Lepisosteus oculatus: one gene and its partner. The protein of the gene in region 1 purifies or fractionates together with the protein of each later gene. This does not show direct contact. Links are inferred from orthologs where the notes say so. Each region holds a gene or a part of one and is shown in the gene's direction. Other genes may lie near its edges. The genes, in order: xpo6 and zmat2.

What was found.
Region 2: the proteins of xpo6 (region 1) and zmat2 purify together in Homo sapiens (co-immunoprecipitation; 3 studies listed by BioGRID and IntAct, with this or other methods). This does not show direct contact. The link is inferred for Lepisosteus oculatus from reciprocal best matches to the Homo sapiens genes XPO6 and ZMAT2.

Annotation. Positions count from the first base shown.
Region 1 is NC_090714.1:6,633,167-6,641,387, reverse strand, and holds the start of xpo6 (exportin-6), read left to right. Parts: upstream 1-5,137; 5' UTR 5,138-5,719; coding exon 5,720-5,722; intron 5,723-8,221. UniProt on the Homo sapiens protein: Mediates the nuclear export of actin and profilin-actin complexes in somatic cells.
Region 2 is NC_090706.1:32,663,302-32,671,078, forward strand, and holds the start of zmat2 (zinc finger matrin-type protein 2), read left to right. Parts: upstream 1-4,518; 5' UTR 4,519-4,523; coding exon 4,524-4,622; intron 4,623-5,290; coding exon 5,291-5,381; intron 5,382-6,025; coding exon 6,026-6,149; intron 6,150-6,611; coding exon 6,612-6,685; intron 6,686-7,048; coding exon 7,049-7,194; intron 7,195-7,777. Other genes in the region: dnd1 (dead end protein 1), read right to left, coding at 545-674, 2,111-2,125. UniProt on the Homo sapiens protein: Involved in pre-mRNA splicing as a component of the spliceosome.

The DNA of each region.
Region 1 (8,221 bases):
GGCAAATATTGTTCCCAGTTTGCATCAGCATCTTAAGCAACCCGAAAACCCGCACAGGGAGGAGACCTGGAGGAAAGAAAAAGTCCATCTCATTCTGTCGCCAACCCATGCGCCTGCCGTTCCTCAGAGTGGTCTTGAGAGTATGACACTTCCCAGATTCACACTGAAGAACAAAACAGATTTCTGCTCTAGGGGATCCAGATTTTGCCCTCAATTTCAGGTTCAGTTCTATTTGGATAAGGTCAGCACTTTAGTTCTGGACCAAGAAAGAGTGTGGAAATGAGGTACCTTTTCAAGAACATGGGCACTGCTTTTCAATCACAAAACATTAGGAAACACCTAGGATCACCAAACAGGCTGTATCTGAGAGACAGGACTTACCAGTGGAAGACTTTAATGATGCTTGCTCGTGCACTGACATCAGCGAACAGCAATCTGTGCTGGGCCCATCTTTCACGAATCGAAGGGAACGTTGTTGGCTGGTGTTGCAGCTCTGGATCAGGGCAGAGTCTTGTAAAAGACCTTAAAGCTGATGAATCTAGGGATCAGATTCTTATTCCCTTGTTCTATTCCCATTCTGAGCAGGAGACAGTGACTCTTTCCCCGGCCAGAGTGTCTCCTGCATTTATTGCCCAGATGCATTATAGAATCCCTCCTCCCACATGAATGCCAAGCCCCAGAAGAAGATTAATACATATCTGGCAACTGGAGGCTGGTAACTTCTGCGAAGCTGTATCGACAGAACCAGGGAACTGAGCGATCAAAAAGCCACATTCTTTCGACCTCTCCCCTTCATCAACACAACCTAATAGACAAGGCGAGTCCTAGCAGTCCATTAACGCGCGTGCAGCGCCCAGCAACTTATTGATCTGGGACTTTTTAGCCTCTTGAAGGATCCCAGGGAATCAGCACAGAGTAATTTGGTTTCATTTTCGCTAGCGCCTTGGCCACCCGTCTGAGATCTGTGTCTGAAACAGAAGGGGAGTGATCGTGATTAGGACGTTTTCTTCGGTGCTCTGCATTGCGACAAAGTTGGCTTTCTTCTCCCGTGTCTGTTATTCACAGTAAAACATAGAAGAGGCATTCTAGCCCCAGAGCAAAGATGAGGTGTTGATTTGAGTGAGCTAATGAGGGTAAGGGGTAGATTTAGAGATGAGAACTACAGAGTAATAATGTTGCACATCGTCACAGTAGTATCAGGAATTGTGATATTACCACGTCTTCATGTTTCCTACAGGAAACCTGCCTGTTTCTCAGCATTAACCAGAAACAAGTGGATTGTACACTGCGGTTCCGTCACAATTGGGAAAATCGTTCCACAAGTTAGCGAGACAACGTGGAACAGAACAAGAATTTTAAGTTTTCAGGAGGTGTTCCACGCTGTTTGCAACATAGTTCTTGTGTCATAGAGTGGAGGGAAAAAAAGGCAGATGAGATTTAAAAAAAACTGCAAGATAACTGGTAATGGGTTTCAGAGCAAAACCCTATAGGATTTCAACAGGTCTGCGGTGCAAATCTGTCTGACTTATCTCTGTCCCCAGTCTTGGGCCCATGTTGGATTAATGGAGGAACTCATACTGATTTATGGGCTAAAGTCCCTAATAGAGTTTTATAGGATGTTTATGAATCTTGTCAAATCTCCTCCTGGCCCCACAGACAGCAAAGATCAATACGCCCTGTTCCTCCACTGAAAAACCACGGCCGTTCCCTGGCCTTCACTGGACATGGGAATTGATTTTCAAATGACTGGCTCCAGGCATCTCCTTTTCTGGGAACACTGTCCTTTTGCTCATGGCCAGGTTACTTATCCGATATTGAACGGGAGAAAAATGCCAGGAACAAAGCAGAAAAATCCTCACGTGACTGCGATCCCGCCTTTCCACCTGCGATCTGAGCAAAACAGATTAAGGCTCTGTAGACAGAGCCTCGTCATTTGGTGATTTTCTTTGTGCAATTTTACATTTCCTAAATAATAAGAAGTACAGAGTACATGCATACTGTCCATCCAAACATAACACCAAACTCAAGATACTCAACATCCTGTTGTTTACACTGTTATTGTCATTGTATTTCTGTCTACTGTCTTGTCTGCTGTTCTATTTATATACTGCACCTGAGAGACTAATGAGAAACACTTTTCACTATACTATGCACCCGGGTAAGTATAATGACAAATAAAGTTGAATTGAATTGAAGATAAATAAACTACCGTATTTGGTGTTTGCAAACTCCTGTGTGTAAGATGTGAAGAAATCCGGAACCACAGTGCTGCAGTGAAGATGGGGAAAACATATTTAAAAGGGTGAGCAGGAGCCATTGCTGTATACAAAGAGCCTCTGTGGGAGTCATAATGCCCCAGTATAGCGGTGGGGACACTATACTGTAAAAAAAAGAAGGCAGCATCCTTCAGATGAGATGTTAAACTGTGGTCATTAGAAAAAAGGCCCTGTACTTCAGATGAGATGTAAAACCAAGGTCCTGACTCTCTGTGGTCATTAAAAATCTCAGGGCATTTCTTGGAAAGAGTAGAAATGTTAACCCACCATCCTGGCACCTGTAGCCTTTGCCAACCATGGCCTCCTAATAATCCTCCATCTCTGATCTGGATTCATCACTCTGCTCTCCTCCCCACTGAGAGCTGGTGTGTGGGGAGTGTACTGGAGTGTACTGGTGCACCATGGGTGCTGTCATTAGCATTAGCATTAGCAGGTCTTTCTGCTTGTCGAGACAGACCTGAGTCACTTCAGGAGCAGCTTGACGAAGACCAAAAATGAGAAATGCGACAAACTCCCCCACTGAGGTCATCTGGACAGTGTGAAGCAGAAATGACATGTCGGCTGGCGTGTGGGAATTCATCTCAGGGGTTTCACCAGGACATCCTGCTCGCATGTGCTTTCTGAGACGCAAATTATATTTGACATTTTAATTACCAGGCAGATGAAATTTAAATCCCCTGCTTCTCTAATGCAACGTCTCCATCTCTGGTCAAAGTCCCAAGTGACAAATGGAAAACATTTCCCTCCCCAGCTAGGAGCATGTTAAACCAATAGTCTTTTTAGGCTCCCCCACTTTAAGTTCAGTGAAACCTGCTGGATCTATTGAACTGGAATCGTATTGTTACAAATAGAGGAGATAAAAATAGAAAATATGGAGTGGGATAATCAATAATTAAAATAAATAATCATAACACCCAAAAAGATATGCTAAGAATATTCTCAAGAGTTTGGCATAGTTACAGACACCTGAGTTCTGTGTTCTCTGGCACTTTGGAGAAAGAGTAATAAACGAGAGGCAAACTAAGACATGCAAATATTTATTAACAAGGACAATAACTAGACAATACACAAAGTTACACACATACAACATAAAACATAACGCTTCTTAGAAACAAGGCATCTCAGAGGACAACGTCCTGACCAACCAGAAAAATCCAGAGAGCAAACCCAGTGCTCAGAAAACTTATATAATGCCTAAACAGGCTCACAAGAGAGCTAAACCCCTATCCTACATAAAACAGAATTAAACCGATAATTAAATGTCCTTTCCTTTAAATCCAGATGATCCAAAGAGGATGTGACATTATTTCCCTCGTCTACAAATGTGCATCCCCTAACGAGGGGAGGACGTTTTTTAACCTGGGGATTCCTTATGGAGGAAATCAGAGTTTTCTACAAAAATTAAAATAACAGAACGGCGAGCACTTTTAAATAAGATTCAAACACCTAACTAGAATCTGGCCTTTGTGGTTGATTCAAACAAGGCCTGTGTTTTTCCTGCTTCTGCTCACCTAACTTTTATCTTTTGGTCCTGGGCTGGTAATGACTTGTAATGACTTACAAAGAGTTTAATTAACCAAGGTAAACCAGACAGTCCAATTTGATCAATATCACTCAGACCCCCTGAAACCCGTCTTCGATCCGTTGTTTCTACTCCGTGCTTCGAAGCCAGAGAAGTGTAAATTTACTGTATTGTCCATTGTAACGTCCGTAACAGTAGCATTTCAGGTAGTATTTCTGTGAGCGTTACATATTTCCTCTTAATCTGAACATTGAAGGCATTCGCTGGACATAATGTTTCAAAGAGGATTCCCGCACACAGAACACTGTGGATCATATCATGAGAACTCCTCACCCTTTGAAGCAGGCTGACAACTTCAAATGTGGCCTGTGACCTCATTTATAACCTCTGCATACACGGTGAGGTTACTGTGTGGTTTTTTTTCAGTGTCACTTTCCTTTTGCATGCTAACTAATTTCTACGCCTTTAAGAAACACAGAAATTGCCCGGCTAGTGCAGTAGCAAGGGTGGATTGAAATTCGGGTATATGAAGTTCTGCAGCTGGTGGGTGATTAATTAGTCATCCTTTGTTATGTATAACACCCTTGATTGCACATTTCCACAGAGCGTTTCACAAAAATGTCTGGAAGACTTTTTATGCGCAAGTATATCTGCCCATTGGGCGGTAAAATAGAAACTAAGGAAGAAAACATTTTTTTCAATGCAGAAATGGGAGGGTTATCGTTTTTATTTCAAATTGCATGTAGCCGCATTGAGTTTGAAATCCAGCGATGGAGCCTGCTGTCTATTTAGTATTAAATTTTAAAAATAAGTGTTAAAAACCTCTTTTTGTAGTCCCCTTAAAAACAATGCAATTCGCAAGGAGAATCCTGGTATACAGAGACATGCGGAGAAAAAACGAAATACAAGTGGGCTTAATTTGCTGATGTAATCTATTGCTCGCAAAGATGAAATACCTAAAAATGACTCAAATCGCACAGAAAGGCTTGCTCGTACTGGTTTTTCAACGCAGACGTGTGCGCTGAACATCAGCCTGGGGCTGACACTAACTCTGCAACTTCATGTAAATAAATCGTTCTAGTATATTATTAACTATTTCGTTCCTGTTTGATATGCCTTAACGTGTTCAGTTTTATTTTTTTTTAAACGCGGCTGTATGAGATATTCATGCCTGCGCCGGGAAGCCGCCCTGCTCGATGTTCATCTGTACGTTCGCGTCTGTGCTACACACGTGGGGCAGATGCTGTAAGGTCGCATTCTTTCTCACGGCTCTGCCCCGGGCGCTGACGTACCCGCGCCCAGCCCGAACTACAGCGCGACCGCTAGTCCCGAGCGCGTGGCTGGCTGCAGCCGGTTCCATCCGGCCCGAGATTAAGATTTCACTTCCGGCGGGGAGGGGCTGCGCGGAGAGGAAGTTCTGAGGCCTGACTGGAGAGGAGACCTGCAGAGTTACTAGGAGGCTGGAGAAAACAACCTGAAAAATAGGAACTTGTCTATTTTATCGTAGTGTACTGTGTTTGGGTTTTTTTCCTCCCCTCCTCCCAAAGACGACATCTCAGGGGGCGCGGCGGGTTTTATGGAAGGAAAGGGCTTTGCTCGCTGGTTTTATGCCACTGTTTTCATCCGGTTTTCCCCAAAAAGAGTCCCGTAAAGACTCTCTCTCCCCCTCCACCCCCCACCCACCCCCACCATAGCGGACCCTGGGCTGCAGGATTTATCAACAGCAGCCGTATCGAGGGCAGCGCATCAAGTATTACGGTTTGTGTGGCCACACCGGCAGCCTGTGCTTTTTTCAGGGGCGAGCAGTCGAGCGGGTTCTGCTGTCAGTAGACGGGGAGGTATGAACGTGAAGAGAAACAGCCAACACCTCAAATTGAAGCAATAGTCCGAACAGCCCGGAGGCGCAACGCTGGCTCCAGGAATGGTGAGTGGCTCTTGATGCAACTCGGGTATCGCCATTCCTGAAATGCAACCCCCTTCTTCCTTCGCAGAACTCGGGTGACACCTGTTTTCCCCCTTTCCGCGGGGACCCTCTCTCGCTGGAGGCATCCGTGAGCAGAAATGCTGGCCTCGACACCTGGGGGGCTGTAGTGCGTGAAACCGCATTTCCATCCCGGGTCGGGGGGCGCTTGGGGGGCTTGAACGCGGGGACCGTGCTCGGCTACGCGTTAAAGTTAAACGCCGATCGCTTTGTCGGCTCAAAAATGTAACTGGCGTTACAGCAGCCGTGTATTTGGGCATCTAATACAGTCATGTTGGTGTCTAAATACGAATTCGGTGTGTTGAAGTCACCTACGCACTGCCTTCCCGAATTAATAATAATTGCTTACACTTATATAGCGCTTTTCTGGACACCCCACTCAAAGCGCTTTAATGGGGACTCCCCTCCACCACCAGTGCGCAGCCCCACCTGGAAGCTGGACTTGCCTGGTTTTAGTTCGTGACCTCATGGTCTTAAATCCCCGTACGTGTGCGTTTTGGAAGACCTCTGTGCAGAGCAGGAAATGAGATCGCTTTGGCACTCAAGCCTCCCAGGTAGCTAGTTAAACGATAAATATTTGAATCCCCGATCCTTTGCGTGTTCTGGCTTATTCCTGAATTCCACTGTTGTAAACACAACAGTTTTGTTTTTTACGCATCAGTGACGGGTTTTTTTTTTTGGTGACGCAATGAATTTACCGGTACGGTAGAAAATGTCAGGTATGTTTTCCACGATCAGATCGTGCCTGCTGACTTCCTACGTGGATGTGGAAGTGTTGCTCCGTTTCCCCCTCCTTTCTTCCAGCTCTCTTTCACTTCCACGCTCCTGTACAAAATATTGGAGATGTTGGATTTTCACAGGCCCAACATTGCCGCGAGAATCAGGAGGTCTGCTGATTCATATAGAGAATATGTCTTTTCGTGTCGTCCCCCATGACTAGACCTGAAATAGGCCCTGTCCTTTTAACATGTAAAACATCTTCATAGTGAAAAGTGAAGATTCTCCAGGGTATTATTATTGTGCTGTCAGATCTATCTGTGACATAGCTGGACACCATCTTCTATAGTAGTCCAGGTGTAGGCCGCAAAGGAACAAGTAATAGGTTTATTCCATGCTGAAAAGAGAAGAAAAGAAACACAAAGTTTAGACTGTGGAGCCTTCTCCAGATCTTCACCATCTTCTGTTATTACCCTCTGTATGGCTGTATCACTGTGATCTTAGGCGTTTGGAACCTGTAGGAAAGGTCATAAATGAGGCCTTGTCTTGTAAGTTTGGTAGATATTCATCCATTGATCTGAAGATCTATTCCAACCCTTCCTTGAAAGAAATCAGGATATCAGTTGTAATATCACGCTACTAGAACATGGCGCAGTTTTAATCTAGCAGTCCATGATTTACTTTGTATACTTCTAACTACACATCCTAACATTCTGTTTGCCTTTTTATTGCATTGTCTAAGGCAGAAAAGTGTCAACGTTTCAGTCTTTTTCTAAGGCACCCTTCTTTGAGCTCAGCATTAGCTCATTTTCAGTTTCCATTTTTGCTACCTGCTTGTAACACTCTGCTCTGGTCTGTTAAATGTCATCTGCCAACTGTTGGCCTCAGTCTGTAGGTTTTCTAGAGAACTGAGATGATGGGTTTGTATTTTCTACCTAGAAGTGGCCCTAGAAGCTTGTCTAGTGGGGATCTTTAGTGTTCAAGTTACTGTATAGAATTTCGTCAGTAAGTGTGTTAATTGCCAAGACAGTTGTAAATAGCAGTAGTTGATTAGTGGATACCCAAATAGAAACGACAGCGCTGGTGAGTGTTTCTGCTGTGAGTCAGTGTCTCTCTGGGAGTGGAGGTGAGCAGTGATATGAAGTCCTGAGGTGGTTGAACTGCTGTAGTTGGCCTTCCTCTAGTTCAACCTGCAGATGCAGCCTTGTGGCTGCTGTACTTGTGATTTCAGTGACCCCAGTTTCTCTTGGATATCGGGATGCTTCCTGTTTTTAAATCGCAGTCTTTCCTGTTGCATGGCATAGATATTTACAGAGATGGGTCCCCCCTTCCTACCTTAAATCTTGTGACTTTTGCATACCTTTACTTGAGGCATTTATGCCTGCAATTCCATTGTACATGGAAGATTTCCTTGTTCCTACACAGTTTTGTGTACTCATGTACAATCTGAGGTTCATAAGCATTCATGCGATTCATCAGAAATAACATGGTAATATTACTACAGTAATGTAATATTACTGTATTGTAACTAGGGAGTAATCTTGTGTCGTAGATGGGCATACTTGTCGATATTACTTCTGTTGGGCATTCATCCTAGCTGGTGGTTAGGATCTACTAGTTAATGTACTGTATGCTATAGGGAAACAGTGCTTGTGTATACCTATACAGACATACGTTGTTTTTTTGTTGATACATGAATTGTAATTTTATTTCACTTACACAGTG
Region 2 (7,777 bases), on another chromosome or scaffold:
AGGAGAACTTAAACCCAGGAATTTCACAAATTCCCTAAATACTTCCAGCAAAATGGAAATATCCATGGTTATACACTATACTTGGTTTCAAGTTCCTAGTATATCCATAATTTTAATTTTACATGCTTCATAAAAATCATCATGCTCAGCTCATGTTGAACTAAACTGTCAAATCTTAAACTCCTAATTAAAGAATGCATGTTAATAATGCCTTATCTGTGTTCATTACTGTTGTGCAAAAATCTGCACCATTTACATTCACCATCTAGGAAGACTTGGACATTTAATAAAAATACAACCACAGCTTTTCACTTGAAATGAGTTTCTGTGAATACTGTAGATGGGCTGTAGAGTAGACTAAGGACATGAAATTACCTTTTCAGCCACAGTAACTTTAACTCAGCTCTTGTTCCAAAAGAATTCTTAATTGTTAAGTGATGCAGTATAATAATTAGAAAACCATAACCATAAGTCATAAGTTTATGACTTCCCTATCACTTTTTAAAATTACTGTTTGGATTCAGGATGAGAAAACATGGCTTACCTGCTGGTGGACCTCCATATATTCTCTGTCCATTGATCTGCACAAGAGAGACTCCTGTGCTGTTTTTCCAAGCCTGCAGGGATTCCCAACTTTCTTTGTTCACAAAGTTTAAAATACTATGGGAGCTATCCTAAAACGTCAGAAAGGAAACATCATCTTTACAAGGCACATCTGTACTTAGTATGTCCTGTGTACAGGAGAAATAACTAATGTAATAAGTATATTATATATATATATTATACGAATTCCTTGCCTATACAATGTATTGTGCCTTTTAGCCCAATTTGAATGTTAGGAAAACAAGATTGTTTAAAACCAATATACCAAAGTTAAAAACCCTACCGTTTTGAACAGTTCTATGGCTTCCCTCCGAAATCTACAATCCCAGCATTGTACCAACCAGGCCCAGCTCAGCTTAGACTTTGAGATCAGATGAGATCAAGCTCTAAGGTGGTAATAAAGCTGTATTTATCCAAGACTGCCAGAAAACGTTCTCAATTTCTTTAAGTGCTGTTGGCTTAGAAAACAGTCAACACTAACAAATGTTTACATTATGCTGAACGACAGTAACGTACTGTTATAAAGAATTAGAATAATTCCTTGCTTAAACAAGGAATTCTCACTTCATTTTTTAAAGAAAAAATCTACTTGAACCAATAATTTAACAATCAGGTTGTTCTTTTGTCCTTCTCAACCATTGTGAAAAGAGTAATTACTCTATTAATCTGGAACAGTATTCTTTTTGATAACCTCCCTCCTAAGTAGATTTTTAGTCTATTAGAATCTTATGGAAACTCTTCCTCCAGTACTGACCCTTATATTTCATACACTGGCAATTAAGCCATATATCACTTAATAACTAGAAATGTACCAATTAAATCACACATCTCCGCACTCATATTCAAATATGTACAGATACGTGGGTAGGTGTGGTTTGCCATTTTAAAAGTATTGAAGTGATTTAGTTCTTAGTCTTAGGGGAATGTGATAGGATAATGTGTAAAAGCTTAAATATCGCAAATAAATCACTGTGCAGAGACGGATATTTTATTGATAGTGATAGCAGTTTCAACAACAAATACGACACCACTAAAAACGACATCTTAAAATTAAAAATCTAGAAAAGGTTAGGACAAACTGGAAATCGTTTCAGGAAAATAGGATATATAAGAACAACGATTCACAAACCTAACATTAAAAAAAATGGAATATGCAAAAATAATTTAAAAAATATTAATGCATAATCAAACGGACAACTGACCCAAAAACCGTGTAAACCTCAACCACCCATGTTATAGCTTTTGTTAAGTCTATGAACAGCAGGTGCGCAATTGTATTTTTCGGTGAAATTCCGGCATAAGCGTTTTTGAAAACCAGAACCTGCACAAAAAGTCAAATTAAATGAAAAGGTCTTGATCATTAACAACGTTTTACGTAACTGACCTCTGGGAAAAAAAGTGTCGGCAACACCTTATTTTAGCAGATTGTAACGATTTTGATATTACTGAAATAAAACACCTGCGTATTTTATTTTTTCAATGAGAAAACGTCTAACCTAAAACCTACCGTTGTCGACTCCATTTATAATTCTTTTTCAAAATCTACTGCAACACAAACTGTTCTCAGCTTCGCAATCACTTTTGCATACAACTTTTGACTTCTGGAAACTTCTACAAGCGAGAAAGTATCTTTCTGAATAATTTGCATGTTGTAGGCGGTGCTGCAATGAAGGCGTTGAAATTCGTAAATAACGCACGAATTGGTAAAATCACAATTCAGGGAACAGTTCTTCTGAAATGTAAAAAACAAATCACAGCATGGTCACAACAGCAAAAAAACAAAATCTTACAACATTAGAAAAACGACGTTAATCATGTTCTTAGAATTGGTCTGTGAACGTAGATTATTTCCAGATTATATACGAGTATTGTGCGATGTTTTATGACAACGTTTTAAAAAAGTACATGACATAAATAACTTATCACTTGACTGCTTTCAGGAATTTCACTATAAAATGTTACAAAGCAGATATCGTCGCGTTTCACGCTCATCTGCGTCAGTTACACCAAAACACGTTTTCCGGAGAAGGTGCGATCTGCGTCCACGTGTTATTAAGACGCACTGCCCATGCTGGCCGGCGCTGGAAACGTGGTTACAGACAGCGGGCGTCCACACGAAAGCAGTTATTACGTTTTCCAGAATGTTATATATTTGCTGCTGTCGAGTGATAATCCGTTCATTCTGTGCCTGCAACGGAAGATCGAGCGTAGGATTTTGCATGAGCACGATGAGACGAGCACGTCTCATTGAGCATGATTAAAATCAAATGCGTCAAAGGCCAGAATCATATTCTCTTAGTCGTTTTTCTTTTTTACTTTTTGCTTCTTCTAGGACTTTCCTCTGAAGCTTTTTCGCTCAGTTTCGACCTTCTCGGCACTGGCTATACAAAACGCGGGCTATATCAGCGTAAGCTGCTGTTATCAAATTGTCTTCCTTCTCGCCCGACGTATTTCTGGACCATAATGAAATTCCCAAATAATACATTTGGAAACTACCGCACTTTTTCGCCGTCGTCCTGCGATCGGAACGTTAATGCCTTGGGCAACGCGACGTAGGCTGCAGGACGCGTGCCTGAACTCGAGGTCAGGAGGAGCTGCGGTGTTGATCCGAAAAGACTTCAGCAAGAAGACTGTCGGTTTGTGCTGTTGCATACAGTACCACCAAAGGGAGCTGTCAGTGAGGGCTGTGCGCAGTGTTGTTATGAATCAAAACTACCTTTTTCTGTTTAATGTTGTTAAGAGTTTTCGTCTTGAGAAATACGTTTCGGTACAGTTTTTTTTTTTTTAAATCATGGTTTCAGGTACAAACGAGAGACCATACAGCCCTGTTTAGCAGCTTTGTTAGTTATTAAGTTAATAACTTATAATAAAGTTAGATCAACTTAGATTGGGTATTTCGCAGCTGTGCTATGGATCAATTCCCTCCCATAATAGAAAGGAATACGAGCTGATTGTTACACTGGGAGCATTTCTACTCTAACATAATCAAATTATGCACAGATATTTTTTTTTACAAGGAACTGCAAGGCGTTTACTTTTTTTCGACAAAACCTTAATTACGTCTGCTTGAGACATCCTGTAATATTGTCTATGGGGTCTTATTAATTAAAAGTATATAAGAGTTCATGACCCTTATATGAGACCGGAATGCCCCCCCACGACAGGCTGTAGTGGGACTGGGATGATAGGATTAAAATGGATGTTAATGTTTACACAGCTGCAGTGGAAGTTAGATGAAATACTACAGTGGAGACCTGGTGGCTTCACTACTTATCCTGGACACTTACAGGACGAGAAACTGCAGATCATGCACTGTGAAATACAATAGCCAAAGAGAAAGCAACAGTAAGGAAGTATATAAAGAATATATAAGGTGGTAAAAGAGACAAGACACAGAAAAGTGAGTCACAGAATAGTGGAACTATTACGTTTAACAAGTAAAACTATTTAAAAATTAAAAATGTTCGAAGTACTTACTCCTTTTGTAGAGCAAATATTAAATTACATCTTGTGTGTGTTAGTTTCTGTAAGAAATAATTCTTTTGTGAGATATCAGATATCTGTCAATATCTGCACCACAAATGCTCAAGAAGATTCATGAAGACGAGGGACTTTGCCCGATATTTCCTGCCCAGTGAGGAGTGCTATGATTATAACTTTATAAAATTTATTGTACAAATGTTTTGAAAAACTATAGTTTTGTGGTAACTGATTTTAAACGTAAACTGTTATTTAATACTACTTTTATTACACAAAAATGTTTTTCATCCGTTTATTTTGTACACTGTAGCCCATCCTCATCGGAAATGATGTAAATACTGTGTGTTTCGGAAAAACAATGATAATTGTTCCCCCTTTTGGAAAGAACTCCTGTCCAGAGGGTGGCAGTAAGGTTAATGGTTAAAACGCAGGAAACCCCAATGAACTCTAGGCAATACAGAAACATGGGTATAGTTTTACGTCTACATAATTTACGACAGCCGTATTCTGTTATGAGCAAAATGGCGTCCGGTAGCGGGGTAGGTTTTGAGTGTTCTTTCTTTTTATTTAAAAAACTGCAAGTTTCAATAGTTCTTCAACAAAGAATATTTCCGTTTTTAAAATGTCTACTTCCATTTATCGCGTAAGCGGTTTAATTTGATTATAGCCGCCTTACTGATAAAGTAGTTTAGCTACCAGACCTGATGGTTTAACTAATAATACCCCAGACTGGTGAGAATGTTTTGTTGGTTGAGTATTTTGTAACTTGCCTGAATTATGTACAAATTGTAAGATCATTTCCTGGGGGGTTTATTGAGATGGAGATGGTGTTCTTCGAGATCGTGCTATGTGATATCTAAATGTATTTTTTTTCCAAATACTTTCATACATATATGTGGACAACCATATACATTTTCTATACATCAGACATCTAGAGCAGAGTGACAGTTTGAAGTCCATGTGCATTTTTAAATGACACCTGAAAAGCTATTGCCTGGCTGAAGTCGATTCGGTGTTTTAAGTTTCTGTTCAAGTCGTTATTCTCCTAGGAAAAAAAGTAAAAAGTAAAACAATTTGCTCAAATGACTGTATAGCATTTTTTTATTAACTAGTTTTAACTTCGATATCGCATATATGTCGCTGGACTTATGGTACCTTCTAAAGTTATCGTGTATTTAGTATTGATGCAAAACTCTTTTATTACTAGACAAAAAATGACTTCCGAAGGAAATGGGATAAAGATGAGTATGAAAAGCTGGCTCAGAAGCGCCTCACGGAGGAAAGGGAGAAAAAAGATGGTAAGATAGCCTCTGGCATCCCCTTAGTTTTAACTTTAAACACATTAAAAGTTTTTTTTTGTGTTTGCGTCTTACAGAATCTTATAAGGTGCTAATCATTTTGACTCCTGATGATGTGATAGGAATAAGTACTTTGCGCTAATATAAATACTGTTAAAATAACAGAAGCATGGTGTAGTTTTGAGTCAGATTCCTCCTGGTCATTGTGGTCAATGAGAATTTGTTCTCATTTCACCATTCCATAAAATGCACGAATAATGATTGTGTCATGTAACGGCCCTTTGACTGTAAACTCACAGGTTAGTTACCACACACACTGAAAATTGGATGACTAAATGTGTTTGATAACTTGAGCATGTGGGTACAAATACTATGTTTAGCCTTATTATAGAGGTCCCAAATAACATATAGAAAACCTTCACAATGTGTATTAAAAAGTACTGTTGTAGAAACATAAAATCATTTTTTTAGAGCTGCTACACTAAATCTCACTCAGGTGTAAATAATAAAACCTACATATTTGGGCTTCAGTATGTAGTGGAGGTATGAATAAAAATGTTCTGGCGCCATTAACTGCATTTGTTACATTACAGGCTCATTTAGTGAAGTTTGGTTCATGTCTGGTTGTTTTATTTTTGCATCAGGAAAACCTTCTCCGCCTGTTAAACGGGAGCTTTTACGACACAGGGACTACAAAGTGGACCTGGAGTCTAAGCTCGGGAAAACCATTGTCATCACTAAAACCACCCCGCAGGCGGAGATGGGTGGGTAAGTACTTTCAGGCTCGTCGTCCCACCTGATTGCTCATTCAGAGACAAAATCTTGTTCTAGGTTTTGGTCTTTACTGTTTGTTTGAGATTTCTAAGTCCTGAAACTTATTGGACAAGTGTGTGGTATGGTGATATTCAAATTGTACATACACAGAACAGAAAAAACAATTAATAGTTCACTACTTTCCACTTTTCCACAGGTTTATGTACACCTGATAAATTCTCTTGCATTCAGTTCTTTTAATAGAATACTCTGTAGAGATGGCAAGTTGAAAAAAAGCGAGCTTAGTACTGTCATTGTTAAATGGATTAATCTGTTATACCACAATATAGGAATGCATTAGCTTGAAACTGAAACCAAAGATTAAGAAATGTTATGAGCTGAAAAAGGTATTTTTGGTTATTTTTTCAATGAAATCTTAATTTAACCCCCTTTGTTTGTTTTTCTTTGGGTTTCCAGATACTATTGTAATGTCTGTGATTGTGTAGTGAAGGATTCAATCAATTTTTTGGACCATATCAATGGCAAGAAACGTAAGTACAGACTTTGAGGAACATACTGCTATTTAGCATGAAGGTTTATCTCAGAAATTCTTGCTTTTGCTGTATTAATCTAGATGGTTCTGGTTCTATAGATGTCCAAGACATTTTGCAACACTAAAATAATTTTAAGAATCTCACGTTTGCTTCCTGTACTCATCTTTCATTTTTAATTAAATGTAGTAGAATAATTTACAGAACTTTACAGTGTCTTTACAGAGCAGTATAATTCTGCAGTGCCAATCCTCTCCTCACAATATTATGCTTGAGCATGGATTTCATGTCTTATTTTGCCGCTCTGAGGGAAATTCATTTTTATGAAGGTGTCGGAAATCTTGTCGCTGGCTCTGCTTTCAGATCAGAGAAATCTTGGTATGTCAATGCGGGTGGAACGGTCATCCCTTGATCAGGTGAAGAAACGTTTTGAGATGAACAAGAAGAAGCTGGAGGAGAAACAGAAAGAGTATGACTTTGAAGAGCGCATGAAGGAACTCAGAGAAGAGGTAATTTGCCAAGGGCTTCCAATCACAGTACAGTTTGTTTGCCTTATGCAGTGCAAGTCTAGGATCTACCCTTGATCCCGGAGAGCTGCAGCACCTACTGTTTCAAATGGTAACCAAGCCCCTGGTACCATAATTGAACAAACTGTTGCTCTACACTGGTTAAATTTAACTTATTCAGCCACTAATTCTTGGGTGGCTTCAAAGTGTGAAATATTCAGTGCCCTACAGAACTGTGGTCAGTAACCAGTGTTTTCAGTATTTTTTTTTTTAGTCTTAATTCTAATCTGGTCTGCTTACTTTGGCCTTCAGGGTCTTTCCCTAACAGTTTGGCTTTAGAAAAACTCAAATGGCTTTTGGTGTATTAGTAACTTCACAACAATTTGAAAAAGAATAGAATGATTGGTGGTGGTGGAGGGGAGTCCCCATTACCTGTAAAGCGCTTTGAGTGCAGTGTCCAGAAAAGCGCTATATAAGTGTAAGCAATCATCATCATCATCAAAATGTAGCTTTTCTTATCAGCATGCAAGCTTAACCTCTAGTTGTTCCTTAGCAGCCCACATGCTGACATCCCCCTCCCACTTGA